Linked DNA regions of Coturnix japonica. The protein of the gene in region 2 interacts with the protein of the main gene of each other region in a biochemical or structural test. Links are inferred from orthologs where the notes say so. Each region holds a gene or a part of one and is shown on either strand. Other genes may lie near its edges.

Region 1 (9,569 bases), on a different chromosome or scaffold from region 2:
TGAGAGTGTTAGAATTGAAGAGTTTTTCTGTTTTGTATTTAGTAAGTATTTTATATTGACAAAATAAGCTGTATGATAACATCTTCTACCTACCGTATATGGTGTATTTAACTTGATTTTCAGGAAAGGGAATCACAAAAGTTGAATACATCCAATGTTTCTGGAATTGGGCCATAAAATGTGGCAGCCGCTACACTTGGCTGCCTGGATTGCCAATACAGAATAAAAATGGGTAAAACCGAGACAAAGGTTATTATAATAAGCTCTTAAGGTTTGTCCTTTTTTCCCTTAATTATTGCTGAATGTTGCTAGAATGAAAAAATGAATTCCATTATTACGGGTTCAGTGTCCATAATGTTTGTTCATTTCTGCTAAACCTATTAGATAATTTCCAGGGATGATTGTCAAATTAACAAGTTTGTACTTGGAAGCCCTCTGAGACTTCATGGCACGGTGCCAAATTACTTTTTCTTTCCATAGGAGGCTGAAAACTGAAGGTCAGTAAAGAGGTTTCTCATCTTAGCAACCAAGATGTCTGAGCTCTCGTTCAGATATTTAAACATTAAAATATATATCCCTATATTTCTGAATTATCTTGATATAAAAACCTCTTCCTTACATATTCTGTAACTTCTACCCAATTGTCCTAATGTGAATCTAGAAGAAAATAAAATTAGCACCTATCAAATTCAGGTTAATTTAATAATAATAATAAGAAAAAATCTGCATACTTGGAATAGAGGATAATTTTACAGTTAAAGCGTACATTTAACTAACTTTAGCTCCAGTAGTTTGACTTACCCCAGGCACCTGTACAGGCTGGGAGGAGTAGTCCTTGAGAGCAGCTCGGCAGAGAAGGACCTGGGGGTCCTGATGGACGAAAGACTCAACATGAGCCAGCAGTGCGCTCTGGCAGTCTGGAAAGCAAATGGGATCCTGGGCTCCATCAGGAGAGGGGTGGTCAGCAGGGATAGGGAGGTGATTGTCCCTCTCTACTCGGCTCTGGTGAGGCCCCATCTGTTGTACTGTGTCCAGGTGTGGAGCCCTCAGTACAAAAAAGACATGGAGATTTTGGAAAGGGTCCAGAGGAGGGACAGGAAGATGATCAGGGGGCTGGAGCACCTCCCCTATGAGGACAGGCTGAGGGAGTTGGGTTTGTTCAGCCTGGAGAAGAGAAGGTTGCGGGGTGACCTCATTGCAGCCTTTCAATACCTGAAGGGAACTTACTCCCAGGAGGGGAGTAAACTCTTGGAAAGGGCTGACAATAGCAGGACACGGGGAAATGGTTTTAAGTTAAAAGAGGGAAGATTTAGGTTGGATGTTAGGGGGAAGTGCTTCACTAGGAGAGTGGTTAGGCCCTGGAACAGGCTGCCCAGAGAGGTTGTGGATGCCCCGTCCTTGGAGGTGTTCAAGGCCAGGTTGGACGGGGCCCTGGGCAACCTGATGTAGTAAATGTGTATGTTTGGTGGCCCTGCCAGGCAGGGGGGTTGGAACTACATGATCCTTGAGGTCCCTTCCAACCCGGGTCATTCTGTGATTCTGTGACTCAAGTTCAGTAGTGTTCATCATCACAGAACTTTCATGATGTGTGGCTTCCAATTCCTTTTATAATATTGCATATATTACAAGGATTTAAAATCTGCACTTCTTCTAACAAAGGGGATGTTACATCAGCAAAAAATGCCTTGCAAACTTTCTTCCTTGTCTTTCATTTCTCCTTCTTTGTGCTCCTGTTCTGTGCCAGACTCGCAGGCCCTTTGTGGGTCCACCCACCCTTGGCTGGGTGCATGGCAGGTGAGAGCCTGAAAAAGAGGCTGGGGGCATGAGAGAGGCTGTGCTGTAGAGAAGGCAGCAATAAAAAAGCCCATGGAGCTTAAGCAGCCAGTAAGCTAGGACCCAGTGGCATATGATATTGCGCAGTATTTGTGTGTGGGTATGCTAGGGATTTTGTTTTCCTGTCTTGAAATGAATTGTTGCTTAGAAGCTTTTCAAATGTTCTGAAGTGTTTACTGAATATTTTACTTTTTTTTTTCCTTGATTAAATGTGTGCCTCCTTTTACCTTCTGGCAAATTTTAATTTATCCACGTGCTCTGTAATAAATACTAGCTTCTCAGACAGCCCTTCTTGTCTGTTTTCCCTGCTGCATTTCCCAGCTTCCTACCTCCTGTGTGTATATTTGGTTATGAGAAATTTCAATGCTCTGAGACTGTCGATGTCTAAGAGACAATGTCTAAGAATGTCTATGTTTCCGTCTTTAGCCTGATAGTGGTTGGGATACCTTGGAGAGTAGCTAGCTGAGTATAGTTCTTCAATATCAGTCAAATGATAGCTTAGTCAGTCAAGTCCAGATTTGGTTCTTTTTACTTCTAGAATATGCGATTTGTTTGTTCCCAGTCTTTTTTTTCCTGTGGAGGAAAGGAGTAGGCTACTTTTAGTATCAAGATGCTCTTTATTTTTCACTTCTATAGAAAGTTTATCAACTCAAATCATGTCTGTATTGACATTGTAAAGTCAGTCCTGTATGTAGCTGATTCGTGGGCATTCTTATTTTTCCATGAGTATAACTACTGTTGCTACTGGTATCAATTTTAAGGCATTAGAATCTACTTGCGGTGAAAAAAATTCTTTCTTTATTAGTGTCAGATGAATCACAGAAGTGACCTCTCTATGAGTTAATGTGATTCATTACATTAAATTCTAAACATTCTCAGAAAAATAACAAGTTGTATTTATTTAATGCTTGTTTAATTTTGTGGTATACTGCAAATTTGGGTCTGTATCACATGGTTGTTGCTGAGTTAATGGAAGTGTATTAGATGCAAGGATTTATGTGCTTCTTCTAAAACTTTGGAGCTTTTACAAGATATGATTGGAATAAAAACCCCATCTTGAAAAAGCACACCTGAATTGTTTATGTTTGAGGAATGCTTGACAGTAAAGTTCTGTACGAAGCATTGTGTTTTGTAAATATGCTGTACTGGCAGACATGATTTATTTGAACTTCCTCTTACAGGCTTCTTTACAGTTTAGCCTTTAATGCCAGATTCCTGAGGCATCTTTGGTATTTGATATCTTCAATGACTACACGAATGATTACAGGGTATGTATTACTCTATCTCTGAATCTGAGTTTTGTTTTTTTTTTTTAAGAATACTATATATATATATATATATATATACACACATATACATATATATATATATATATATATATATGCTATTTAATATTTTTACTGGAATGCTTAAGTTAATGTATTTTTTCATGTGTTTAATTAACAATGTCTTAATTTTGAATATTGTGTTTTCAGGTCTATGGTGCCACTTCTTCAAGTAATTTCAAGAGGTTCTCCAATGTCTTTAGAAGACTCTAGTCGAATTATCCCTCTCTTCTACCTATTTAGTTCTTTGTTTAGTCATTCGCTTATTTCTATTCACGATAATGAATTCTTCGGCGATCCTATAGAAGGTGAGAGTTTGAAGCATACTTGATAACAGTGCTTTACAAAACAGGTTTGTGTAAGGCTACTTAAAATGTTGAACTGTCAGACTTTGAGGACTAAATCCATGCAATTCAGTTGCTTCTGGGCAATCCTTTGTTAAGAAACAGGAATATTAACCACCTTCTACTTTTCTTAAAAGAATGGAAATTCACTACATGCTTCTAATATGACAATTCTAGAACAAATGTCCTGCTGCCATATCAATTGGCTGAGAACTGCTCAGCGTCTGCAATTTACAGCTTGAGGATTCCCTGGGCAATGATTTGCTGACATCTGTGGGGAAGGTTTTGCTGGGTTGAATTGCTGCTGGTCCCTTGAGCAATCAGCTGTCATGTGGTTCTTTCATGATGATTGCATTTGGGGGGGGTGAAAAAAAAGATGGTCTGCACCATGGGAACCATAGTTTTACAGGGTCTATTATGCAAGTTTTTAATCATGGTAATTTGCAGTGAACTGGTGAAGAGAATGAAGATCTGGACTGAATCTATTGACTAATTCAAACTTTTAACATAGTTGCTGGAGAAAATAAGATAATACTGTAATTGTGTCTGTAAACAATTATGAGGTCATTGCTTTTTATAAAGATATTCTCTTTTTGCGTGATGTTTTTGATTGATAGCAGATTGTGTGTGAATACTAAGGTTCCAATGAAATCAGTGCTTTTTTAATAGCAAAAAAGAAAACATTGAAAGAAACTTCAACTTCTGTTTTTTTTAGTTGTAGGTCAAAGACAATCATCAATGATGCCTTTTACACTAGAAGAGCTTGTAATATTATCACGCTGCCTTCGAGATGCGTGCTTAGGAATCATAAAGTTGGCTTATCCAGAAACAAAACCAGAGGTTCGCGAGGAATATATTGCAGCATTTAGAAGTGTTGGAGTAGCAAAAAATACAGAGATGCAGCAGTGTATACAGACTGAACAAAAAAGGTGGATTCAGTTATTCAAGGTAAGTCATGTCAGTTTTCTGAGTAGCTTAAAATAACATTTTCAGACTTAGGCTGAATAAATGAGACTGGATGCGTTTTATTTTTGCTAGGTTTTTTTTTTTTTTTAGCACTTTTCAGGAATATGGACTCAAAAAGATTGATTTTTGGACTAGATGCTGAACTTTAAGTAATAAAATTCCGATAACTGTATTTTTCACAAGTCTTTGTTTAACTTTCAAAGAAAACATAGGTACTGCATAGAATAGACATTTTGACTTGAAATCCTGCTCAGCAGGATGCTTAGTATGTGATTACAGCATGACGTGGGCATGCAGTTCTAATGGGATCATGTGGTGACTTGGGTACTTCAGTATTGGAGGCTTCATTAAATTGCTACTAGGCTTCACCACTGGTTTGTTGGTGTTTTACCAGGACGTGATGTTGGTACTCCTTTTGGGCTTGCTGAAATACTACTGAGATGGTGAATTTGGCTTAACAAATCTAAACTTAATGTACATCATTTCTGGCTATCTACCAATATATTTCTGTTAGTTTTATCCATGGCATTCTAAGACATAAAAGAAGCTGAAAATGTTGGCAGGGAAAAAACCTAATTTAACTGTTGCTGAAAAATGGAGTGCTTGACTTGTCACGAAAATTCTGCAGCAAACATATCTAGTCAGCTAAAATTGCTCATTAAAGAAGTGGGAGCAGAAGAAATGCATTTTCCAAATTGAATGGTAGATTTACAGTCCGTTTAATACTGGTGACCTCTCGCACACTAATGTTCAGTTCGAGTCATCAGCTGTCCCTTCAGGTCTTTTATCACTGCTTTTGTCAAGCTATCTATTTAATTGAAAGAAGTTAATTGAATGAAAATGATCAACTAAGCTTGTATTAATATTGCTAATGGAACTTTCTTCTTGGCCATGTTTGGAGAAAGATGTCATGCTAGACTTTAGGAAAGGCCCATTAAGACTTGCACTTAACCTGATGGGCTAATTAAGGAATGCTTATTCATTCTACAAGTCTAAGATAGCCTCTATCCAGCCTATTCTGTCTGATTTTACAACACATTTCACTTATGAGCATAAGCATTAATAGCAGTGAGAGTAACTGATAATGTTTTGATTGCATTGAATACAGTCCTAATGCACCGCTGAATCTGTAATTTGCACTGATTGATCTAATATATGTTTGCACGATTTAATTTAATTACTTGTCTTTAAATTGCCAAATAAACTTTCAATTTAAAGGTCACAAGTGAAAACCCCAGTATGTCTATTTCTCTAACAAGAGCAGCGTATTAGGAGCGTTTCTCTGTTAGCAGTTTATTATGTGTCATCTTCTGTTTGTTCTTCTTCCTTTGTCTTATTTACTCGTTTGTTAGCATCTTAAATTTCCAGTGAATTTGATCATACTGTGCTTCCATGCTGCAAGTTGTTAAATTCCAAGTTACTCTTCCTCACTTTTGCAGGCAGGATTCAACTTGTATCAACTTGGTCTGCTGCTTATACTTCCAGGAGCCAGAGTTGTCTTCCGTTAATTGATACATCTGTGTAAATCTTAGGGGCATCTTGAAAACTGGTTTTACCCATAATATAGCAAGTAACAAAGCTTAGCTTGCATATTCCTCCAGAAATGTATTGCATATAAAAGCTCAATACAACTAAGTTTGCTCCATTGAGAAGCACAAAATCTTTCCTGAGGGCAGTTTCCAAGTAGGTTCTCATTGGTAAGCAGGCAGCAGTATCTTCTTCCAAGAAAAACCATCTTAAAACAAAGCTGAAGCAGTTTATAAATTTAAGGTGTTGAAGTAGAAATTACTTTTATTTATGCTGTGTCATATATGAGAGACTTGTCCATTCTGAAGCTTTTGCAAGGTGTCTACAGACAAAGGCATATTGCTTCCCTATTATCCATTGCTTCCCTAGCATTCCTTTTAATTTCTCACACAAGTTTTCCATGTCACTGATTGATGTCTGATATGGAGTGCATACCAGCAGCAAGGCAGTGGTAAACCTGAAAACAGTGACTGCTGACAGTACTTTTTGGCTGGCAAATTGCAAGTTCTTGGAAGGGTAGGATTTACGTATGAAAATGTCTTTATTAATTAGTACCACCTTTTTTTTTTTGGCTTGGTGTAATCTGCCTTGTAGTCAGCTGCTACAAATTCTGCAGAAGAACTTAATTTCAAAGAATTAATTCAAAGCAGTCTGTGTTATTCCTTAATGAAACTTGTTTTCATGTACTCAGAACTTAAGGAACTCCAGTCTCAGCTAGTCTGATTCAGCTTCCTTTAGGGTCTTTTTATAACAGCTTTTAAAAGCACTTTATTAGCATGGTCTTCACATGGAAAAAAAATTTCTGCCTTTTTTTTTCCCTTGAGTATAGTGGTAATGGGACCACAGAGCTTCAGTGACTCATCTCACCTGCATTGAATTTTATAAGGGCAAGGTGATGAAAATTCCTGTGTAATCAGACAGTTCCCTTAATAGCATTCTTTTGTTCTTTTATTCAACAGGAGCTGGATCTTAAAAGGTCTTTTGTATAGCATCTAGACACAGATTCCTTTAGAAGGCCCATTAAACTCGGTGTCACTCTTTGACACCTGCCTATTAACGCTGTCTTTTAGGAAGATTACTTCAGGAAAGCTGTGTGTTTTTCTTCCTTTCTCAAATGCTCTAGTTCTAAGTTTCAAAACAGGTGCATGTTTATCACAGCAGCGGTAACTTCTTTGAGGCTACTAAGTTAAAATCGTATTGATTCCACTTAATTTTATGTAACATTGGTTGAAGTTGATTCTGTCTTGCACATACCTTGTACCTACTTTAGGGAGAAGACATACATGAAAGTATGCCAGTGCTTTTGATGGAGTAGGTGTTACCTTGATGCTTTTCCTTCTGTTCTGGACTGGAGGAAACTGACAAGAAAAATAGAATTGCAGACTCACTCCTATGATCGTGACAGACATTTTTCCCACAATTTTCTGTTGTTTTCTCATTTTCGGGCTGTGTAGTTATGACAAATTTACCTTTCATCGTTTGAGCTCCTTGTGAATTAGAAAGCGAACTGAACATAATGGTTTAAACTAATGCGTCATGCCTTGTGGTTGAGTGGCACAGGGTTGTAACAACATCATGCACTGTAGTTCAGCTGATAAGCAGAAATCTGTTAGGCCACTTTACCACATGGCTTCCAGGAAAACGCTTATACGTTTTGCTGGGCTTACTGACTTAACACATTGAAGGGCTTTTACTTAACATGTCTTAGTATGTAAATAACATTATAATATACTACATACATATATATCAAATAGAAATTGCAACCCACCATGCTGTGCATGTATTTTCAAGACTGTAGGTCCTCCTTAGGCTTCTTGTCCTGACCACTAGAATAATATTGGCAATGATTCCTTTTTTGCAAAGCTGTCCATTTGTAGTCTGCTGTAGGCTGGGCCCTTCTCAGGAACACGTTTGCTTTATGAATCTGTTAAATTGAGTCTATTAAGAATCTTAGAGTTTAGCTAAAAATAGATAGAAATAACTGAGCTAGTCATACTAGGAGCTGTTCTAACAGGGTCTTTGAGGGTATGGTTTATTTGGTAAGTGATAGATACTTTAAGATAACTTTTTTTTTTTTTTTCCTACCTAGCTCTGACGACAATAAAAGGAGCCCACAGTCTCTTTGAGATGTAGAGCTTTTAAAAATACCAGCATTTGTTTTTCCATATGGATAATCACTTCAGTGAGGTGATATAATTGGCAGATGCTTATGACTTCTCTGAGGCACCTTTAGCAGAAAAGGAGTTAGTGCAGCAACTAGAACTAGTTACATCTTTCATTTACTTTTGGTGCCTGTTTAGTGCTTTTGCCTTCTCCTTCTGTACTTTTTTGAAACTGATGTTGGCTTCTGTAGAGTTTGACCATTAAGGAGCATATCATGTGATCTTCTGCTAGCTTGTTAAATAAGTTCATCAATTGTAGGCAGACATACCCGCTGTAATTGATTGATACCTAAGAATTATGTAGTGTGGTATAGTATGTGACCTGTGTTATCTTAAGATGGAAAGCAAAAGTTCCAATCTTCTGTAGATCATTTTCATTGAAAAATGATGCATGGAAGTTTGAGAGACTTCTTTCCTGTTGACAGAGAGAGAATTTAGCCATCTGCCAGGTTGTTCAAAATCTTGGATTTGGGCTGCCGTATAATAAAGAGCTGGCATATATCTGTCTCTTCTTAAACATGCATCTATTTGTATGCTTAAGTTTTTAAAAGCCTATATAAGTAAGTGGGGGAAAAAATGTATAAAACAGAGTTAAATGACTCAGTTAAGTATTATTTCTGTTAAGAAGTAATTCAGTGTTAGTAATGATTTGATTATGCTTTGCTGAACCAGCATTTCACTTCATAGGTGTGAAATCCTAGGGATTACTAAGTCCTAGCTCTTAAAATTTGAAATGAGTCTTTAATAAGCTAGGTTTTTTGGATTACATACTAGTGAACCACAGTTACTCATGTGCTAAGTTAAAGTGTAAAAGCAGGGTTTAGTAATGCATGAAATCAGTACTTACTCTAACTTACTTTTTTTCCCTCAAGTTTTAGCTTGTAATTTCTAGAATTTCATTCACAGTACTAAGCATATATTGAATGTATGTATTTCTGACACCTAGGTCATCACAAACTTGGTGAAAATGCTGAAAGCAAGAGATACAAGGAGAAATTTCTGTCCACCAAATCACTGGCTCTCAGAGCAAGAAAACATTAAAGCAGATAAGGTAAGTGTAATTATATTCCTTCTCACAGAGCATTACTGATGATGAAGCTTAATTTTTTATTCCTAACAGTACCAGCAATGTTGATATTTTGCAGTTTTAACGTTGGTTAAAATGTGTAGTAACACTGCTTATCTCTGTAGTATAGAAGTCTTGCATCTGTTAAGAAGCCTCTATGTTAAATTGCTTTACCAGGCCACAGTGTAGGACCCACACTACAGTGCAGTATTTCAATTAAGCTCTATATACAACCACAGAGAATTGGAAATTGTGTAGCTTTTTTGCAGTTAATTTTCATATTATTTTAAGCTTTTCTCAGAATAAAAATAGGGCAGTTGTTCTCTCATGGAATCATACCTCAAAA
Region 2 (10,313 bases):
GATGGATGAAACACTCTATGACACGTTACTCACTGTTGCGCACATCCAGGAAGGACACGAGGACGGTCAACAGTCAGCCTACAGCCACCGTGGCTCATGAGCTGCCCTATGCGCTGTTGCGTAGGGGCACAGGGTGAGCGTCCCCTTACCCAAGTGGGTCAGGCCCTGGTGTGGCACAGAAAGCACGTGAGCACAAGTGGGGCAACACGTGGTGGCCCCCCCATCCACAGCCACCCCCATCTCTTCCCAACCACAAGTGTGGGATCATCACCTGGGCTAACCGCACCATGAAGAGGTTGTTGGGGTCCTTGGCGTGGTACTGGGCGAGCTGCCGCAGCATTGCAGCCAGCCGGGCGTTGTTGGTACCTGGAGAAGGCAGGGATTGAGGCACCGGCCTGGTCCCATGGCTGCCCACCATAACACACAAGCTGCCACCCAGGCTTACCACTGCCCACCATGCCCATGGCAAAGATAGAGTTGTAGGAGACTTCAGGGTCAGCATCGTGGGAGAACTTGCTGAGGGTGTCCAGGATGTTGAGACGGGGGTTAGAACAGAGATTAGCGCCAGGGCCAGGGGCACAGCACGGCGCAGGGTGGGCTCCCCATACCGCAGCTGCATGGAACAGAGAGAGAGAAGATATTAAAACCCAGGTAGGGGCAAGGGCACGGTGGGGCATCCACAACCCAGCTTACCAAGGCCAAGATGTGAGAGAAGATCTGCCCTCTTCATCCAGGTCCCTTCCCAGCCCCACATTGTCCCCCAGCTGCCACTCACCAGGTGACCAAACGTGCGCAGGGCCATCTCTGCACCAATCTCCTCACCCATGGCAATAAGTGCAATGCCCAACACTGCTACACCCTGCAGAGACACCAGTACTGAATGCCAGGCAGAGACCACCAACTGCAAATGCAATCTCTTACAGCCCAGCTGGACAGCGAGAGCAGAGGATCCTGCTGGGGCCACTTCCTCTGGGTCTGACTCCAGACAGGGCAGCTACTGGGCCTGGGCCGCAGGTTCCAGCCCAGGTTTTCCTACCTGGTGTGCTCCCATGTCAGCTGAGTTTTCTTTCTTCTCTTTCTCCTTTTTGTCCTTCTTGTCTTTGTCTTCCTCTTTCTCCTTGGAGTCAAAGTGCTCACTGCAGATGTGCAGAAGCTGCTGTACCTTCAGGACATTCCCTGAACCTGTGAGGTCAGCAGTGGGTAAGGATGAGCAGAAGGAAGGCCTGGTCCCACTCCCACCTCCCTCAGCCTTGGTCAGCTCAACGCACCAGCATAGGCACAGATGTCTACCAATGTGTTGGCAAAGCTGCGGAACGGCTCCGACACCACCTCCAGCGCTGCCAGGATCGCCTCGATGGCTTCTCCCTTGCCTGTGAAGAGGCACAGAGTTCAGGGCACCCAAGAGATGCTCACAGTCCCAGCTCACAGGACCACCAGTGCTGCCCTTTCTTACCCAAGTGGTTCAAGCCCAGGCCAAGCGGCAGCCACCGGGCATAGGTGTCCTTCAGCTCCGTCTCTGATTTCTCCATGATGGTTTGGAGGATGGTGGAGGTGACATCCCCATTGCAAGAGCCCACAGATATCATGCCACAAGCCAGGGCCGTCACACCAGCCACCTGGGGAGGGAGCCATGTTCTTAGGGCACAGCACATCACACAAGGACATGCAGAGCCCAAACCAGCCCCAGCATCCCCAGGAGCTGTCAGGGACTCGTGCAGCACACCCTGCTCTGCTCCCTACCTCCATGCTGGACTTAGAGTCCCCCATCACTGGCAGCAGCAAAGTCAGGACATCCTCGCGGTTGGAGCCCGCGTAGGCCAGCCCCAGCCTATGGAGAACAGAGAGGAATGTCAGGGATGGCTGCACCATCCCACACAGCCAAGGACGCCAGGGCAGACCCTTACCCAAAAATGGCTCCGATCCGCATGGTGTTGCTGTTGTGGAGGACATAGTCAGATAGCAGGGCCAGGGCAGGGTCGCATTCATTCCTCACTCCTGAGTTGACGATGCCACAGGCCAGCAGGGCACCCGACTATGAAACAGAGGCACCATTATGCACTAGCCACCACCACATGGAGCTCCCTGCCAGCCAGTGACTCATGTCACCCCACAGGTTACACTTGCTCCCCAGGACAGGCTGGTTGGTACCAAGTGAGTATGGGGCTGAGATCAGTGCCACTCACCTTAATGTAATCCTCTGAGGAATAGAGGTACTTGTCAATCTGTGTGAGGCCCCCATCCACGTCCCACAGCAGTATAGTGCCCAATGAAGCTGCAGCACTCAACATTCCTGTTGAGTTCCCAGGTTCCCAGGGAGAAAAGCCCAAGTCAGTGTGACCAGCCTGGACACAGCAGGGCTGTACCCAACTGCCACACTTTCAGCAGGGCCCACAAAGGGTCACAACCCCAAGCCCACAGCCACCTCCAACCCTCACCGTGGTCTTTGTTCTTGTACAACCATTTATTGCCATCATCTGTCAGCAGCTTGTCTTGGCCGAATGCAGCATTTACAAAGCCGTTCACGAAGGAGGATGCCAAATTCATCCGGGCTGAGTCCACTTGGGAACCACTGCCCCCAAACCCTGGGGAACAAGATCAGAGTGAGGCAGGCCAACACTCCACTGCACAGTTGTCCCACGCCAGACAGTGGGTGAGGCCCCATCCCCAGCCACAGGGAAGGAGCAGACAAAGCCCACCAGAAGCAATGGGGTCTGCTCTATCCAGAGACAGACAAGGTCAAAACATGAGCTCTTACGGTTATTTTCCAAGTGGGTTTTGTAAATATCATCTGGTACTTTGGGCTCCATGATGTCCAGCTGCAGAGACAAGGGAAAAGAGGGTTATTTCCCCACAGACGCACCACAGCAGCTGTTCTACAAAGACAGCCTTGCCAGCAGGACCTGGCCAGGCTCATAGGGATAAGAGAGCTCTCCCCAGGTCTTGCCACAGAGCACAAAGCCTGGTGGCCAGGGCAGATCCCAGCCTGGAGCAGCCCAGAGATCTTTCTCCAGCACAGTGCTCACCTCTCTAGCCAAGGCCAAGAAATTGCTGTTGAGCTGGACGTTGGACATGATCTCAGTCAGGTCCTCGTACTCCTCCACGTCCTCATTCAGCTCCAGGAAGACCCCATGGCGGCCCAGCATAAAGGCCATCTGCTTCTGGACAACTCTGCAGAGGGAAGAGGCTTTGAAAGCATCCAGCCCCCATAGCCAAACAGCAGTCACATACCTCAGCCCACCCTGCTCAAGCAGCATACAAGAACAGCCCAGAGATGACTGGCTCCTGCTCATCTTTATTTTGGGGACACCAGTATCTGGCCAAGCCCCCAGCCACATCTGACAATGTCAGGATCCTACTCAGCTGTACTCGCCCCCCCGAGCCCAGGGACTGTCTCTACTTACACATCTTTGCAGGAGGTGAAGATGTCCTCCACCAGCTCCACATCATTGAGCATCAGAGCCAGGCGCAGGGCTTCAGGGTAACGGTTGAACTTGCGGAAAATGCCCAGAGCACAGCGTAGGAGAGCAGAGTTCTCAGGTTCTGGGACATAGCTTACGCAGCTTTGAGGAGGAGATGCATATGAGGATGAGTGTCAGCCAATGAAACTGGGCAGCCTTAGCCCACCAAGGGCCAGACAGATGCACCAGTCCCTCACCTGGTCAGGTAGAGGCACACTTTGGAGTAGGCGTTGTCATCAATGTATTTCTCCAGCATGTCCATCTGCTCGATCTCCATGAGAAGGTCACAAGCCTCGTGCTCTGCATTGTGAGCCATGTTGTAAGGGACAATCTCCTTAACCAGGGTGAGGAGTGTGTCCCTCTGTGCCTTGTCAGCTTCATCAATCTCCTGCCATTCCTTGGCCACTTCCCCTGCCAAGTGCCTGCAGGGAGAAGGGGACATCGTGACCACAGAAACCAGCCTCACCCAGCCCCGCGGATGTGAGGCAGCTGTTCTTATCCACCCCAAGCCCTGTTCCCAGCCAGTCTCACCTGACATATTCATGCCCCCACGATGCCAGCTCCTCCTGAGAGCCCACCAGGCGGTACTTCAGACACTCACGCTCCCCACTCATGGTCATAGCCAGGACAGAAATTATGTCTGCTGCAAAGCGCTGGGGACAGAGAGCTGGAGCTTCAGACTCACATGGGATTGATTGCACCCCAGAAGACCCACATGGGACTGAGTGCCCCACTGTGTCCACAGGGGGCAAAGCAAGGACGTGGCAAGTCACAGCCCACACAGGATGGCAGCACTCACCTTGTTCTCCCCAGCAGCCATGTTCTCATAGATCTCCTTCAGCTTGCCATAGTGTGGTCGGAGGAACTTGAGTGGTTTGGGGACAGAGGTCATGGAGGTGGTGGAGGAACGGATCTGCCTGCGCAGCTCCTCCAGCGCCGGGCGGTAGAGAGACGTGTCCTTCTCCTGCACATGGAAGAGGCCCATCAGGAGGTGTGTGAGGTGCTGACTCTGGGCTCAGAGCCCCCCACACCCTAAAGTCAGCCCTATGGGGCTGTGGCACAGCGAGCAGACAGGCACCCACGGGGCACAGCTCTGAGCACCCACAGGGCTGTGACACGGGGCATTTCCCCCCCAGTTCTCTAGGCTGCGGGGCCCGCACTCACCCCCAGACGCTCCACCAGCATCTCCAGCTCATCCTGCAGCTGTTTGTCCTCCTCCGACTGCCGGGATGGAACACACGGTTAGGGGCGACCCGCGGGGACAGCGCTGTCCCTGTTAGTAACACACAGCCACCCCGGAGCCCCCCGTACTACGTCACCGTATGACGTCACGCGGCCTAGGGAGCCCCGATGACGCCATCCCGCCCCGTGACTCAGCTCCCCGGCCGACTCTCACCAGCTCCTGCTCCTTCTCGGGCCCCGCGGGCGGATCCCGTCGGTCCCGTCCCCACAGCTGAGGGGTTTTCTCGTCTCCTCCCGAGCCCGGCCCGCCCTGCACCCGGCTCTGCCCGCCGCCGCCTCCCGCGTCCATGGCCGCTCCGCCGCACACCGGCCACGCTCTGCGCCTGCGCACGGCCCGTAGTCTACGTGACGTCATCACCGTGCGCCCGATGGGAGTTGCCGCTGGTCGGAGTGGGCGGGGCTTATGAGATGTGGGCGTGGCTTAGCTGATTGTGGGCGGGGCTTAGCGGGATGTGGGCGTGGCTTCGTGGACCCTCCCCGCGTGTCCTGGCGCCGGGCGGTGACACCCACGGGCGTGGGGAGCGGAGTGTCGGGGTCAGGACGGGATGGGGACGTGGGACGTGGGGACGGGGAGCCCGGAGGGGGATAATTACCCGCAAAGCAGTGACACGCGTGGAAGTGTGACACGCGTGGCACAGCCGGTCTCGTAGCGCCGTGCCCGCCTTACAGCACCCGCCCGCTGGTCCCCGGGGGTGGCAGCGCTGCCGTGGGCGGCTGTGTCTGTGCGTGACACTGTGTGTGCGTGACTCTGTGTCTGTGCGTGACTGTGCGTGGCACCGCGTGGGCTCCGTGTCCCCGGTTCCGCTCCCGGTTCCGTCCCGCTGCGCATCGCTGTGACCGCACCCGGTTGCGGTGCCGGTGCCGGTGCTGCGGCTCCGCCCGTTCTTGCGGAGGGCGCTGCCCCTCGCGGTCACCTCGGCGGCGGGGCCGGGCGGAGCGGTGCCCCCCGCTGCATCCTCCCCTGAGGTCGCCGGTCTTTAACCGTCCCCGCTCCCCGGTGCCGGTGCCTCACCCCGCTGGTCCCCAGCCCCCCGGTCCCTTCCCACTGCGGCGGCTCCATCCGTCCCTGCCCGGCGCCGCTCCAGCTCCCGGACCTATTCCCGGTGCCGGTGCCGGGCCATGGCGGAGGCAGGCGGCGCTGCGGCGGCGGCGGGGGCCCGGAGCGGGCCGGGCGGGGAGCGGAGCTAGGCGGGATGGCCAGGATGAACGTGGCCCTGCAGGAGCTCGGACACGCCGTGAGTGTCGGCAGGGAGGGACGCAGGGGACAGGAGGGGGGGGCGCGGGGACAGCCCGAGTGTTGGGGCTGGAGAGCTGCGGGAGATGGGAAGGGATGCGGGGGGCTGCGGGGAGAAGGAGCCGGGGGGAAAAAAGGGATTGAGAGCCCGTGGTTTGAGGGGGCCTGGGGGGCTCCGCATGGCAGCAGGGGAAGAGGGGCAAAGGGACCTCCCCGCTGGGAGAAATGGGGCAGAAATGGGAGAAATCGGGATGAACCCACGGCCCCTCGCAGTGCCAAAGCAGGGGGCACACCTGGAGCTTGTGGATGCTGCCCCACTGCAAGTCCCGGGGCTGGGGGGCCCATTTCCCCCACGGATGGCGCAGGAAGAGCCCATGGGCTGGATCCTGCCTTAACCTCAGGGTGCCAGGAGGGATGCGGCTGGAGGCGACATGGGGCACCGCGGCAGACTGGAGCACCCAGCCTGCCCCAGTCCCGAATACCAGGCTGTCCAACACCACCATCCCACAGTGATGGAACCCCCCCCCGGCTTTGCAACCTCCCTGCGTCCCAGTGATGGGCAGGGGAGCTGGGAGCAGAGCGCTTATCCTTCCCCCCCACACACACCCCAGCAACTCCATACCCCTGAGCACTGCAGAGATGCGCAGATGGAGGCTGAGCCACAGCCCACCCAGGCGTTAACTCTGAAGCCTGAGGACAGTGCATACCCAGAAACTCTATACCGAAGCACCCTGCTCCTTTCTGCAGTTCAATCCCCCCATCCCTCCTTCCTCGCTGAGCTGTTTGCAGCCTCCATGGCAGGGAGGGTGCAAGCAATGGGGCTGCCCCCCCGGCTCTGGTGCAAAAGGGTCTCTATCTCACCAGCATCACTGGTCCTTTGCAACCAGCCGATGCCCCCCCCCCATGGTTCCCTTGTCCCCCTGGATCCCTGCACCCTGTCTTGCATGGGTGGGAGGAAGGGGAGAGGGCTTCCAGATGTTTCAGACCAGTGCACATCTGCATGGAAAGTTCCAGGTGGGGGGGAGGGGCGAGGCAGCAGCACTAAGCAACGGTTGCCAGGAGATGGGGAGTGAATCTCCGTGGCGATGTGGCACCTGTCAGCGGGGTGATGCTGCCATTGCCATGGTGACACGCAGGGATGCTCGGGCCCCAAGGGCTCCCACCAGCATCCTGCATTGCCCTCCCCAGGGCAAACCGGGGATGGGGCTGGCTTCTGGAGGAGGCCCTGTCCCCCCCAGGCACCTGCTGTAGGAGGCAGAGGGGGCAGTGGGGTGCAGCCCCCCCCAGCCTGCTTTCCCCCCTCAGATGCCTGACTACAAGCATGCCACGCTGCAGGAGGACGAGGGGCCGGAGCCGGCAGGGGATGGCAGCGCTTCCCCCGACAGCGTGGAGGTGAGCTACGGCACAGCTCCCCTGCTTTGCTTAGGACCCCTTTCCTGCAGCCCCAGCCCGCAGCATGAGTGGGGCCGGGAGCCCGGCCAGCCTTGGCTGTCATTAGATGATGTGCTGGGAGGCAGCCAAAATGCAGCAAAGAGTGATCCCCTTCCCTGCAGCTCGACAGGGGGTGCACCAGCATCCACAAATGGCTCGTCCACAAGGGATGCACTGGCTTCAGAGTGGCCATTTCCAAGCTTAGTCCCCATCTAGTCCCCATGCCCCACAGCCAAGCCAGGGCACCTGGGAGCAGTTTGGGGAGGGGATGTGATGTCAGCCCCTGCCTCCTGCCCAGGTGGGGTTTCGGAAGGGGACGGGGCCACTGCTGAGCCGCCTGGCCTCGCGCTCCCAGCTGGAGCTGGTGCTCTGCACTGTCGCTGTCACGCTGGCCCTTCTGCTCGGCATCACCATCGTGGCTCTGGCCGTTCAGTACAGCAGAGGTAGGAGACTGCCATGCTGGGGTAGAGATGCCATTGCCCTTCGTGGGGACAGCAGGTTGCTGGGTGCTGTACCCACTCCCAGTAGCAGCCCCACTCTGTGCCTCAGTTCCACTCCCCCCCCACCCCTCCCCGCATCCCTTTCCCTGCAGATCCCTCCCATACCATGTGCCTGACGGACGCCTGTGTCCGGGTGGCCAGCAAGATCCTGGAAGCCCTGGACACGGACACTGACCCCTGCCAGGACTTCTACCAGTACTCGTGTGGGGGCTGGATCAAGAGGAACCCACTGCCCAACGGGCGCTCCAAGTGGAGCACCTTCAACAGCATCTGGGAGCACAACCAGGCTGTCATGAAGCACCTGCTGGGTGAGCGCGGTGGGGATGGGAGCTGTCTGAGGGTGCCAGCAGAAGGGGTTTGGGCTGAGCTGTAGTATCCCGCAGAGAACTCCAGCTTCAACTCCAGCAGTGAGGCGGAGAGGAAGACGCAGCGCTACTACCTGTCCTGCCTCAAGGAGCAGAGAATCGAGGAGCTGGGCTCCCAGCCTCTCATGGAACTCATTGACAAGGTGAGGGCTCAGCTCTGGGGACAGTCCTGGAGCCTCCCCCATAGCACTGAGTGACAAACACCTCCTGGTTCCATTTGGTGGCAGATCGGTGGATGGAATGTCACCGGCACCTGGAACCAGAGCAGCTTCATGGAGGTGCTGAAGATGGTGTCAGGCACCTACCGAGCAACCCCGTTCTTCACTGTCTATGTGGGTGCAGACTCCAAGAACTCCAACAGCAACGTCATCCAGGTGGGCGCTGGGGGTAGCAGGCACTGGGGGCTCTGGGATGTATGGGACACCCATGCTGTCCCTCTGTCCCCAAGGTGGACCAGTCGGGGCTTTTCCTTCCATCCCGGGATTACTACCTGAACAAGACTGCCAATGAGAAGGTGAGTCCAGGATCTCTGCATGGAGCTGGGGACTTAGGGACAGGAGGTCCAGGGGCAGCAGGTCTGAGCCCCTGGTCAGATCTTCACCCTAAGGGGTGGCCAAACCAGGAACCTGTGGGCAGAGGAGAGCTGCACATGTGTTTTGGGGTCTCACCAGGTCCTGACTGCATACCTGGACTACATGGTGGAGCTGGGCATGCTGCTGGGGGGGTCCAAGGAGCCCACCCGCCTGCAGATGCAGCAGGTCCTGGACTTTGAGACGTTGCTGGCCAACATTACCGTGCCACAGGCTGAGCGGCGAGATGATGAGAAGATCTACCACAAGATGAGCATTGCTGAGCTGCAGGTGGGTGTGCTCCCAGTGAGTGTGGGATGCAAGGGTGTCCCAAAAGGACACCAGAAGGAGTGCTGCAGAACCACGTCCCCATGCCCCTGCAGGTCCTTGCCCCTGCCATCGACTGGCTGGATTACCTTTCCTATGCACTGGCCCCACTGGAGCTGGCTGAGACTGAGCCCGTGGTGGTGTATGGGGACGCCTACCTCCAGCAGGTCTCTGAGCTCATCAACAGCACCGACAGGAGGTGAGCACCCCCAGGGATCCTATTTAGGCATAGGACATCCCCCATGCGCTGTTCTTGTGGCCACATGAAACATCCCTCTGTCCCATAGCGTCCTGAACAACTACCTGATCTGGAACCTGGTGCAGAAAACAGCATCCAGCCTGGACCAGCGCTTTGAGACAGCCCAGGAAAGGCTGCTGGAGACACTCTATGGCACCAGGAAGGTAATGGGAGGGGGGTTGGGGCCACCCTTCTCTATCCACAGCAGTGCATGAGTATTTGGGATCACTTCTGCCCCGGGCACTCCTTGGGACACTAAGCCCCAGATGCAGTTTCACAGTGAAGCATCTGCCCACAGCCAGGGGGAAGCAGTGGGCAGGGAGGGAGGTTTGTGTCTGCCCCGGCATCTCATGGGCTCTGGTCTCACTCCCACAGTCCTGCACACCCCGCTGGCAGACCTGCATCTCCAACACAGATGACACGCTGGGCTTCGCCCTGGGCTCCCTCTTCGTCAAAGCCACCTTTGACCGGGACAGCAAGGCCATAGTGAGGACACATCCCCTCCCCATCCATGAGATCTCCTGCTTTCCCCCTGCATGAGGGGCATGGGGAACACAGCATCCCCTCCTATCCCCAGGCAGAGGAGATGATCAGCGAGATCCGGACAGCCTTTGAGGTATCCCTGGAGCAGCTGGACTGGATGGATGAGAAGACGAGGCAGGCTGCCAAGGAGAAGGTGAGAGATCCTCAGGAGACCCCTCCGGTATCCCCCCACCCCATCTAACCACCAGGGCTTCTCCCCATGCAGGCAGATGCCATCTATGACATGATCGGCTTCCCAGACTTCATCCTGGACAACAAAGAGCTGGACGATGTCTATGATGGGGTAGGGGCTCATGGGGAGGGGTCTGACACATTCACACAACCCATGGTAGGACAGTGCAGAAAGAGACAGTCGTTCCTCACCCATCCTCTTCCTCACCAGTACGAGGTCTCTGAGGACTCCTTC
Region 3 (10,229 bases), on a different chromosome or scaffold from region 2:
CATAGTTCTGTATTACAAAGCTGCAGTTACAGTACCTTTATCAATAAAATACACTTGATTCATAGATTAAACATAAACAAGAGATGGAATCTCCTTTAATCAGTTCAGAGTTCTGATTAAAGGTTCTCATTTCTGAGATTGTTCTGAAGGATTTTTGCTTTTAAAAAAAATCACTGCAAATCGCTGTTTTGAAATAGACAACATTTATAAATTCTTTGCTACGTTACAGCCTGAAAAAGTCAATTAAAAAAAGGTGAGATAAAGTTAATTTGGATGTTTTTTTTTTTGTGACTCAAGCTTTGATTTATAAACAAAAACCAACCCACCAACCAAACATGCAGCAGCACATCTTACTAAGCTCATTAGGTTTACAGCTAAGCGTGGCTGTAAATATGTTTACTAGGTCAGCTGTGCAAAGCTGGCTCATTGCCCAGTTTAGATATGGAAGAAACCAGGATTGAAAGAGGAGCATTTACAGATGTTTTAATAAAGCAGAGGAAGAAACAAAATCACACAGCTGAAAGAGGTACAGGATGATGATGGAAAGTTTTCTCTTGATAACCTATTCCAGCATGCCACATCTGTCCATTCTCTTAAAGAATTGTGCTGTGCTTGAGATTAGAACTCTGTAATTAGAGCTAAGATGAAAGCAACAGCAAAGGCTATGTGACTAAGTTTCAGCAAGTACTGACTTGTGCTTAGTTCTGCTAAATTTAGTGCCTCCTGCTTTGATGGTTTGTGTGGAGTTCTAAAATTAGATTTTATCTAGTTTTGTGTCAAAGGTATTTTAAAGTGACTACAAAGATTCAGAAAACTTGGATATTGATTAATACAGTCTCCTTGGTCACTAAATCTCTCTATAACAGTGAACATAAACCCAACTAGATGAACAGCAGGCTAGAGTAGTAACAAACTGCACCTTTTCAGAACAACTTACTTTCATTTTAGCTTCAATCCACTTCATATTGGTAGCAGCTGAAAGAAAAGGGATAAACCAAATAATTATTTATCAGTACATCATTGATAGATTTAAAAAAAAAAAAAAAAGCAAAAAACTGTTTAGGTATCAATTTGGTTTACAGACCTCCATTTCAGAAAGACCCATCATTGTCACAGCTTTCAGGGTTCACTGCTTTCATGACAGTCTGCCTTCATGGAAGTTTATTTTAATTTGGAAAAGATTAACTTTCAAATGAAAACCAGATTAAGCACTGCGTGCATTTAAAAACATTTTTAGATCAGTTGTTAGTGAATTACATTCTTGAGAGCCATAGAACAGGCTACATCTGGTTTGAGGAACGTTGTCTTTATGGGATTTTCTCCTGGAAGCACTGTAAGAATTCATAAGGTTGAGAAAGGACAAAGTATCAATGTTGCCAGCTGACCTAGGAATATGTGGAAGCATCGTTTCAGACTTTGAAAGCTAAGTTTTGTAAAACAAGTTTAAATTTTATGTTGGCTCCAGCTGTCAGACAGGAAGGGAAGCTGCACTAAAGCAAAGCATCAGTCATCCCTATAGACATGTGAGTTTGGTCTGTTTCCAGTTTTTTATTGCTATGGCTTATTGTCTAGACTGAAATTATTTGCAGAGCTAAGATACCCAGCAGTGTTTGAATGCTGGTTTTATAACTGTTTTATTTTAAGCATTTGTTTGTTTGTACAAAGTAACATTCAGTAAACGGATATTGAGCTTTATACTGTTATTAGATCCATTCATAACAGCAATATTCCAGGTGAATACATCACAGCTGATCGTTCATGTACTGCTTTACATCTTGTAATTCACATAAAAAGTGATATAAAAGCCTCCCAGCTGGAGTCTGCTCCAAATGATAGTTTATAATGAAGTCTTAGCACTGAGTACATAAACTTACACCAAATTACAATATCATAATCCTCATATGCAGATGTCAGGAACTCATGAAGGTACGGCCTCATCAGTTCTACTCCAGTTTCAGCGCAAGATCTGTGGTCTAAAAGGAATACAAGAAGGCAGAAATTTATTATAGAGTGTCGGATGTTAGGTATGACTGTCCTGTTCACCCAGGGACTTGAAATGTTTTGCTTGAGAAGCACATGGAGAAATCTGAAATTATGAAGGAACTTAGAATAAGGCACCATTTCTACTTTAAAGGTGCAAAGAAGAAGGGATATTTATCTGTTGATCCTTAAAGGAATTTGCGTGCTTAGCTGTGTGTCTGAATATCTTTAATGAGACTAAAGAGTCACACCCATTAATTTATCTGTTAATTCTAACAGCCCAGATACTGACCAGAGATTCTTGCAAACTTAGTCCAGTTGATCTTGTGAACATACAGAGATCATTATTTTACAACAGTGTCTTATCCTGCCATCATCATGTCCAAGATACACATTGGTCAATAGAAGAGTTCATTGGATAAAATCCTAAACTACTTTTTGCATCGTCTTGGAGAAAATAAGTAGTTGCTGCACCAAAATCAATAATATACAACATCTACAAATGCCAATGCTTCTTAAAATATGAGCAGAGGACCTCAAATTGTTACAAAACAGAAGTTACGTAGTACAACACAAGCCAAAATAACTGAAGTATATTTGTAAATCGAACCTAAGGAACTGGCAAATAAATCGCTCTCTTAAACCAACCCCACAAGTTGCATAAAGTCTCACCAAATAGTGTATAATCAACGTCTAGCACCAGCAGCTTCTTTCCTTCCCTGGGAGGATTCAGAATTTCCACTTTGTATTCTTTAACTCTGCGAGAAATTTTTAGTAGATTTTCTTCCCTAATATAAGAGTACAAAAAGTTACAGTTAATTAAAATGCATACAACACGTTCCATAACAGGACAGGTTTTTAATAGCTCGAATTCCTAACCTGTTTTCTACTTCCACAACTTCCTCTTCAATATCAAAGTCATTGATGACATCATCGTTATCAGGAGGCGGCCCAAGAACATCTTCCTAGTGGAATAATAATAAAAGATAACTGGGATTACTAAAAGAAAGCAGTGCATATTCAGACCCAGTTACTGTACATTACAGTCAAAAAATGAAAATTAACAAAGGTGATTTTACTTCACGAGTAGAAAAAAATGCTCAAGTACAGTGATGATTTGGTTTCAGAAGTCAGTGGGGATATCACAGTTGTAAGTTTGTACTTTAAGCCCAAAACAAGGGACTTTAATGCTATTCAAGTTTTACAGAAAAGTTTACATAAATACCAGAAATCTACTGCAGTACTAATTTTGCAGTGATTTAAAATCATAATGAGGAGACATACAATCTTCCTTTCCCCCCTCTTCTAAAGCTAATAAGCAAGTAAAATATTTACCAAACTCTCTTCACGAGTGCCCATCATCATGATTTTAGTATTTGGTTTTAACTTGAGTGCTCCAAGCTTAACATCATCCTCCGCAGGTTTCCCTATAAAGCAATAAGAGTTCTGTTTGCTTTTTTATTGTTCATTTTTGTTCATTTATTTTTCTTTTCAAACTGAGAGATTTTAGTAAACTGTCAGTATATTTCATGCTTAACTGAAATTAGCTACCCATAAAACACAAGAATACTCCAAGCTGCATTGTCATCCTCCATCACAGACATGCTACTTGTCTGACTAACAAGAATTAAAAATGTTTAAGGTACACCTGCTGCACATCAGCCATTAAAAATGACCCTTTAGATGTATCAGTAATGAACTACATAGTGATGTATCAGATCCCTCTGTGTGCGCTCATTCAAAAGCAAGATCTAGGAGGTAGATGCTCTGTTAATACACACATCTTAACTAAGCTAAGAGGATGCTCTTCCTTAAATATCTCACAAATAATAAATACAAATAATTACCCTTCATCTTAAGTCCAAGTAATTTTTGGCGCTCTGGTAACACTCCAGTAAGGCCTTTAAGAGATTGCTTCAGATCCAACACAGTGTCCTCTTCTGATAGCGAGGTTATCGTATACTCCTGTCCTCCCCATTTTATTATGAGAGAGAGAGACATCCTTGAAGCATATGTTCAGTGTTATTTCCTGAAAAATCTGCTGGAGGAGAAAAATGCAATGATCATGTAAGCAAGAAATAGGAGTAGTTATTTCTTTTTTCAGAAGACAAACATTATAGTCTGTTTTTACATTTTTGTGATGTTGTACATCAGTGAGCTGCTTGTTTTGCATGCACAGGTGATAAATGTTAATACAATAGTGAAACTAAGGGAGAAAGAACAGCACTACAGCTGTGGCTTTGAGTTCCACTTTGATGTACTTAGCAGTGTCACACTCACTGTCTGCTGTAGCACATGCTCGCTTGCTGTGTGTTCAGTGCAGGTACAGCTTTTTGCAGCACAGCCAGCATTCAAGCAGAGCACTGCAGCATCAGAGAAGTCATTTCAATGTCCTCTGCAATAATTTCACAATCAAACCACTCATAACATACGTGGCTATTAAACAGAAAGTAAGCAAGTCCTAAAATACACAAAAAAAACCCAACCAAAACAGTTCTGAACCAACAGTTCAAGTGGATCGAACACTTTCCCTACTCACTTTCACTGAGATCTGTGCAGTAGCTGCAGTAATACACCTCAGGTCACGTCTCACTGTAGCAATATCAAAGCAGTTTGAAAACAAAGCCAAAATACACACCTACACGGTACAATTACACTGTAAGAACTGCACTTTCATTGCAGTGCTGACAAAATAATCGTAATTACTACCTTTAATTTACGCCAGATCATTTATGTGAATTATATTCAACGGTTTATTCCCACACTAAAGACAGAAGCAAGATTTCTAGCTTTCTGGGAAAGGAAAGACATGTTTTCTTCCGCCAAAGTTTGGAAGCAGAGAATCAAGGAATGGGTATGAAAAGGCCATTTCAAACTGTCAGAGAACCAGAGAAGGCCTCTGCACAACTAATGGTGAGAACGCACTTAAAAGATTGATGACCAAAAAGTAAAGGGAGAAGAGCCATAGAAACAAAGTAAAACCAAACCTGAGGGTGTCCACCTTCAACTGTACCAGGCATTGCACTGTACCAGGCAATCCAGGTCTGGCAATTCCAATAAAAGCCAGAACTCAAAAGTCTGACTCCTCATCCTCTCCAGCATCGCTCTCAGCAGTTACCTGCTCTCATCCAAAGTAATTCCTGCCTATACAATATCCTTTGTTAAGAACAATTGAATAATTATTCAGACATACCCACCAAGCTCAAATCAGATAAGAAATGGAGGATCAGATACAACCTGCCTGCTGTGCACAATAAAAAACATTCTTCCTCACTATCTCCTCTAAGATCCCTGAAAACAAACTGAATACATTTTAGAACAATCAATTTTTATTATATTTTAAAATATCTCCAAATATCCCCAAATTGGACGGGGAATAGTATTATCCTGTGAATTAGTATTATTCTGTGAAAGATGGCCTTAGAAGTATTAAGAGAATCAACTGAGGTTAAGGCTGCATATCAGCAGTGTTAGCTCATCACAAATAACCTCTGCCCATAAACCTCAGACCAAGATTTCTATGCTTAGAAAGACGAGTTTGTGGCCTGCTTTCTCAACTGTACCACATGCCTGAAGTCATTCTGCAAGCAAATGCACTGAGTAAAAGCAGTAAGGAAACTTCTCAGGCCTCAAACTGAAAGGATCCCTATAAAGCAGAGCACTCATCAGCTGCCAGTCCTTGCAGAAGTACAGTTATCTCAGGATGAAGGTTATCAGAAACAACAAACAGAATGACCTTTATTCAGTGCAAAACACTGATGGAACTGGGTGTGGACAATAGAATCAGTGTTTCCAGGCAGGGAGATGGAACTAGATGATCTTTCAGGTCTCTTCCAGCCCAAGCCATTCTGTGACTCAATGAACAGATGAGGACCAAAGAGAAAGTCACAGGGATTTTCAGTTCCTATGGACTGGGTTGTATAGAAGGGATAGTGAAAGATAGTGAAACCAAGTTTGTTCTAGTCATTGTCAGATGGATGACATTGTCAGAGCCCCGAGGGCCACCAAGAGCCTAAAGTTAAAAGGGCACTGGGGCAGATAAAGCGTGGTTCTTGGATCTGGGAGGGAGATACACCTCCATGTTTCTGGGTATTCCACCCCGCAACGTAAAACGTGAGCACGACAAACCCAACCCGCGGGATGAGCAGCGGCACGGAACGGGGACGGAGCGCTCAGAACGGCCGTGGATCCCCGGCTGAGGCCGGTCCCGGCGGTGACACGGGGAGCGCAGAGGCCTCGCGGCTGCAGGCCCCGCTGTGCCGCGGACGTTGCGGGGCCAGGAGAGACGCGCTCACCCCTCGCACCCCCAGCACGGCAATGCCCGGTGCTACCGCGCACGGAGCCTTCAGGTCCGGCCCCTCACGGCGATAGAGGCCGCAGAGCCGTTATACAGAAGCCCCAGCCCCACCCGCGGCAGCGCGATGCGGCCCCTCACCCTGGCAACGGAACCGGCACCGACCCGCGATCCGCCGCACCGGTAGCGGAAGTGGAGCGCGCCGGAAGCGGAGGGATGGCGGATGTGAGCTGGTTCCGGTTCGGTGGAGCGGGGTGTTTTAGATCGTGTTGGCTGCGGACTGTCGGTGTAGGCCCAACCGGGACCCTGCATCCAGGCGGGCCGGGCCGGTACCAGCCGTAGTTCCGTAGTGGTCTGTGTGTGCCAGGAGACGCTGAGATGTGTCAGAGTCAGAGTTATCACTGCTGCTGCAGAGTTATTTTCCTGCTCTGCTCTGATAGGAATTCATTATTTGATTTAATTTTATTTTTGAGGTAAAATCCACGGGTGGCACCGAGCGAGTGGGCTGGCACGGCCCACAGCCACCAGTTCGCTGCCATCAGCTGCTCTCTTTCATTAATAACCTTCACAGGAGGTTTATTGATGCCCTGAAGTCCTTTGTAGCTTCTAAGCTACATGGCAGAGTATGGTTTTGTATCCCTTGAATCAGTGGTGCCGTGTTGGGGGCTGCTGGGATGCTCAGCTGTAGTTGCTTTGTGACATTGATAACGAGTGTAGAAGGAAAACTTAGTTTGTGCAAAGATGAGCTTTTGCATTTAGATGTTCTGCTCCTTAGAAATCGTTTAAAGGAAAGAAAACTATCAGTGCTGAAGTGTGATGTAAAACCAGGTGGGAAGGATATTGACTGCAGCTGTGGTCAGAATTAAATCTGCAGGGGAGGAATAGTGGATGTGTCGGTCCTTTAGTCTTAGTTCTTGCTCAGTAATGACCTTCTCCTTTTTTGTTCAGTGATAGGAAATGGAAGAAGAAAGGAGAGCTGAGCACAGCGCTGCAAGAACTGTCCCTCACATTGTGTTGCAGACCTGAGCAAGGTGCAATATAAGAAAAAGCTGCACAGAAGGCTGGTTTTCCACAGTCTTTTTTTCTTCTGACCGGGAATTAATTTTATGCGTTTCCTGCTTGGATACAGATTTTAAGTTTTGTTCTATATTCAGATTTGAGCATAAAAAGTGCTCTGGTTTCCAGAAAAGCGATGCAAATGGGAGGTTACTTCACTGACTGTTCGTGTCAGGTGTAGCTTCTGACTGCACTCAAATCCCTGTTGAACCAGTTAGTGTGTATATATTCTAGTCATGAAGGGCTTTTCATGCTAGTTCCCCTCTACAACTATCGTGCTCTGAGGCAGCATGGTACAGTAGTGCTGGAAAGCTTCCAAAGTTACAAGTAGTAATTAAAGTCACACCCTGTCATAAAACTATGCACCCTGGAGGCCTTTTTAAACAAACTCAGGCTACAGAAATGAGACTATAATGTGACCAGCTCTTTACTTACAATCTTTTTGATACATTCTAATAACTTCCTAATTGGCCTTGATAAAACTCTCTTGTGGAGAAGAGGCATTAATTGTTTTCCTGTTTGGTTTTGGTTTGAAAAAACTATTCAATGTTTCTAAATGATATTTCATTTTGGGTATGATGATGGTGTTTTAGTGTCCTGAGCCATGACTAGGACTACTTTGTGCTCAACACTGCTGAAAAATGCTCTGATTCTGGTGTTCATGTGGCACAGAAAAATATGTCCTTAAACTCAGCTGTAAGAACACACGGTGGTGCTAAATCCTAACATTAATAAGTGCATAGTGTTAAAGGAGTTTCACTAAGACCATATAATTGCAACTCAGAGCCCAAACAGCAGCATCTTTGTACAGAAAAGTTTGTTTTGGGGTGGTACTCTTTGGGTTTACACTGTGGTAAATTCTAGCAGGGCAAGGAAGAGGAAAAAGCAGTGAGGAAATCTTAAAGCAAATGTCCGCTCTGTGGCATCCCGATATACCCTATGCCTGGGATGCTCTAGGGTGAAACTAAAGAAACTTGTTCTAAGCAGGCAGTAACAGCAATGACATGTGAGAATGTCCATCTCTTCAAGTCTACACTGTCCAAGTGTTTCCAGCCTAAGGCAGATTTGTGCACAAATGCTGTCCTAACCTCTTAAATGTAATACAACAGACAGCGTGGTTTACTGGACACTGCCATCACTGTGCCCCAGGAACAGCAATGTATGAATGCAAGCTCTGATTCTGAATCAGTGTGTGACTGTGGGCAAAACAGTGAAACTTTGCAGTGTTCAATAACGCAATGTGCTTCAGTAGCTGGCAGCTCAGCTGGAGACATAGAAACGTCTCTGGTTTGAAATGAAACACATTTTCAAGTTATCACTAATACAGTGAGTCTCTGTCTTGGCTTCATTATCAATAAGGTGGAAGTTGGACCAATATTTGTACAGCTTCCTCACATGAGTTTTTTCCAAATTATTTACATAGTGTTGGCACTGTGAGATGTTATAAATACTAGAGGTTTGTACCCATCTAATATGTGCTGCTCTGATTGCTGAATGTGACCATTATTCTTCTCCCACTATTCAGCCTAATTATTTTTATTTTATTTACTTAAATTCTTTGTATTCTAAATCAAGCCCCACTGGCAAGGGATCTGGGGAGAGAACTGTGATTCTTTTATTCCCCGAACAAAAACTGATTCATCATTTTCCTTACATCACCTCTCATCTCTCCAGCTTCTCAACACAGACATTGGTATGGCTTTCCCTTAGGTAAGTTGTAAATCGCAGCAGCTGTGTATTTGTTGGGAGTCAGCACTCCTCAGGGCTGTTAAAGTGGTAAAAATGTATGTAATCATATGAGATGTAATTATGAGAGATACTGCAGAAGTGGTTTCCTGAAGAGAGTGAAATAAAGATGAAACTGTGATACTGGGACAAGATAAATTGCTAGAAAGCTGTGGAAAGCTGAGAGAATGACAGGAAAAAATAAGAGTCAATATGAAGCTGAGAGATGGGGAGAGATTTAGGAAACAGGGTTATAGACAATGAAAAGAAGTTCTGAGATGGGGTTAAGGAGTGAGACCTGCTGAATCAGGCAGATACATTTGCTATGTATGGCTTCCATTGATGTGTTAAGGTTGTACATACAAGGCACAAAATCAGGTTTCACAGCCAATCTTAATTTTCGTATGTAATCGTTGTGTGACTACATCTCACAGCGCGACCTACTGCTTTCACATGTATATGCATGAATATTTCATGAAACAATTCACTGTGAAAGAAGCTTCAAATAAAACTGCCTGTTTTATTGTCTCCCATAGGCGTGCAGCGTCCTGCCGTGTCAGCGTATTTTGCTGCTTTAGAGAATTCTTATGAGGGTTTTTCTTTGTAAGCAGTTTGAGGTGCTGGCGGTTGTCCATCCACATGGACAAATCAAATTGCCAAATCATCTGAGCCCTGAGAATGTCTTTTGAAAGCTTTAATGAGGTGTCACCAAAGTGGTCCTCTTTAGTCCCTCAGCTGCTGTTTGGTACAAGTTTGTAATCCAAATGCTTCTGCTCATAATGAGAGACAAACAGTCATGGAATTAATTATTGTTATCACTCAGTGTCAAATGTGGAAAAGGCTTTAAAAGTCCTGAGAGTTTTAAAGCAGAAGGTTGTGGTACTTGACGAGACAGATCTTGCACTATTGCCCCTGACTTCATTCAGCTCTGAATCGAAACCACAAAGAACAGAAGTGACTCTTTTCCCCCCCACCATGTACAGCAGGAGAATACAAGTGCTCCATAGAAGCTGAGATTCTTACGCCTTGTATGACAGCTGGTGGTTTGTACTCCTTGTGATAAGATGTGGTGTGGTGGTACCAACAAGTATTAGTGAGTAATAGCATGTTTGGTCTCCTTTCTGCTGATGTCTGGGCTGACAAACTGGAGGGAAGTCAGGTGTAATAGTAACAC

What was found.
Region 1: the proteins of PSMD2 (region 2) and UBE3C form a complex in vitro, tested with the Homo sapiens proteins (2 studies listed by BioGRID). The link is inferred for Coturnix japonica from reciprocal best matches to the Homo sapiens genes PSMD2 and UBE3C.
Region 3: the proteins of PSMD2 (region 2) and UBLCP1 form a complex in vitro, tested with the Homo sapiens proteins (3 studies listed by BioGRID). The link is inferred for Coturnix japonica from reciprocal best matches to the Homo sapiens genes PSMD2 and UBLCP1.

Annotation. Positions count from the first base shown.
Region 1 is NC_029517.1:7,677,436-7,687,004, forward strand, and holds part of UBE3C (ubiquitin-protein ligase E3C), read left to right. Parts: intron 1-3,014; coding exon 3,015-3,101; intron 3,102-3,308; coding exon 3,309-3,466; intron 3,467-4,217; coding exon 4,218-4,450; intron 4,451-9,103; coding exon 9,104-9,208; intron 9,209-9,569. UniProt on the Homo sapiens protein: E3 ubiquitin-protein ligase that specifically catalyzes 'Lys-29'- and 'Lys-48'-linked polyubiquitin chains.
Region 2 is NC_029524.1:13,900,563-13,910,875, reverse strand, and holds the start of PSMD2 (26S proteasome non-ATPase regulatory subunit 2), read right to left. Parts: upstream 5,037-10,313; 5' UTR 4,990-5,036; coding exon 4,855-4,989; intron 4,680-4,854; coding exon 4,623-4,679; intron 4,423-4,622; coding exon 4,258-4,422; intron 4,112-4,257; coding exon 3,990-4,111; intron 3,881-3,989; coding exon 3,656-3,880; intron 3,561-3,655; coding exon 3,402-3,560; intron 3,169-3,401; coding exon 3,024-3,168; intron 2,817-3,023; coding exon 2,756-2,816; intron 2,583-2,755; coding exon 2,436-2,582; intron 2,291-2,435; coding exon 2,184-2,290; intron 2,033-2,183; coding exon 1,905-2,032; intron 1,829-1,904; coding exon 1,741-1,828; intron 1,617-1,740; coding exon 1,454-1,616; intron 1,371-1,453; coding exon 1,269-1,370; intron 1,183-1,268; coding exon 1,037-1,182; intron 860-1,036; coding exon 776-859; intron 614-775; coding exon 446-613; intron 367-445; coding exon 277-366; 3' UTR 272-276; intron 166-271; 3' UTR 34-165; and 1 more. Other genes in the region: ECE2 (endothelin-converting enzyme 2), read left to right, coding at 5,894-5,935, 7,240-7,326, 7,664-7,808, 7,958-8,173, 8,249-8,373, 8,458-8,604, 8,679-8,744, 8,902-9,090 and 6 more. UniProt on the Homo sapiens protein: Component of the 26S proteasome, a multiprotein complex involved in the ATP-dependent degradation of ubiquitinated proteins.
Region 3 is NC_029528.1:12,392,549-12,402,777, forward strand, and holds the start of UBLCP1 (ubiquitin-like domain-containing CTD phosphatase 1), read right to left. Parts: upstream 6,490-10,229; 5' UTR 6,416-6,489; exon of another isoform or gene 6,223-6,415; intron 4,022-6,222; exon of another isoform or gene 4,019-4,021; 5' UTR 3,982-4,018; coding exon 3,828-3,981; intron 3,408-3,827; coding exon 3,316-3,407; intron 2,946-3,315; coding exon 2,860-2,945; intron 2,769-2,859; coding exon 2,653-2,768; intron 1,974-2,652; coding exon 1,875-1,973; intron 976-1,874; coding exon 938-975; intron 1-937. UniProt on the Homo sapiens protein: Dephosphorylates 26S nuclear proteasomes, thereby decreasing their proteolytic activity. Recruited to the 19S regulatory particle of the 26S proteasome through its interaction with 19S component PSMD2/RPN1.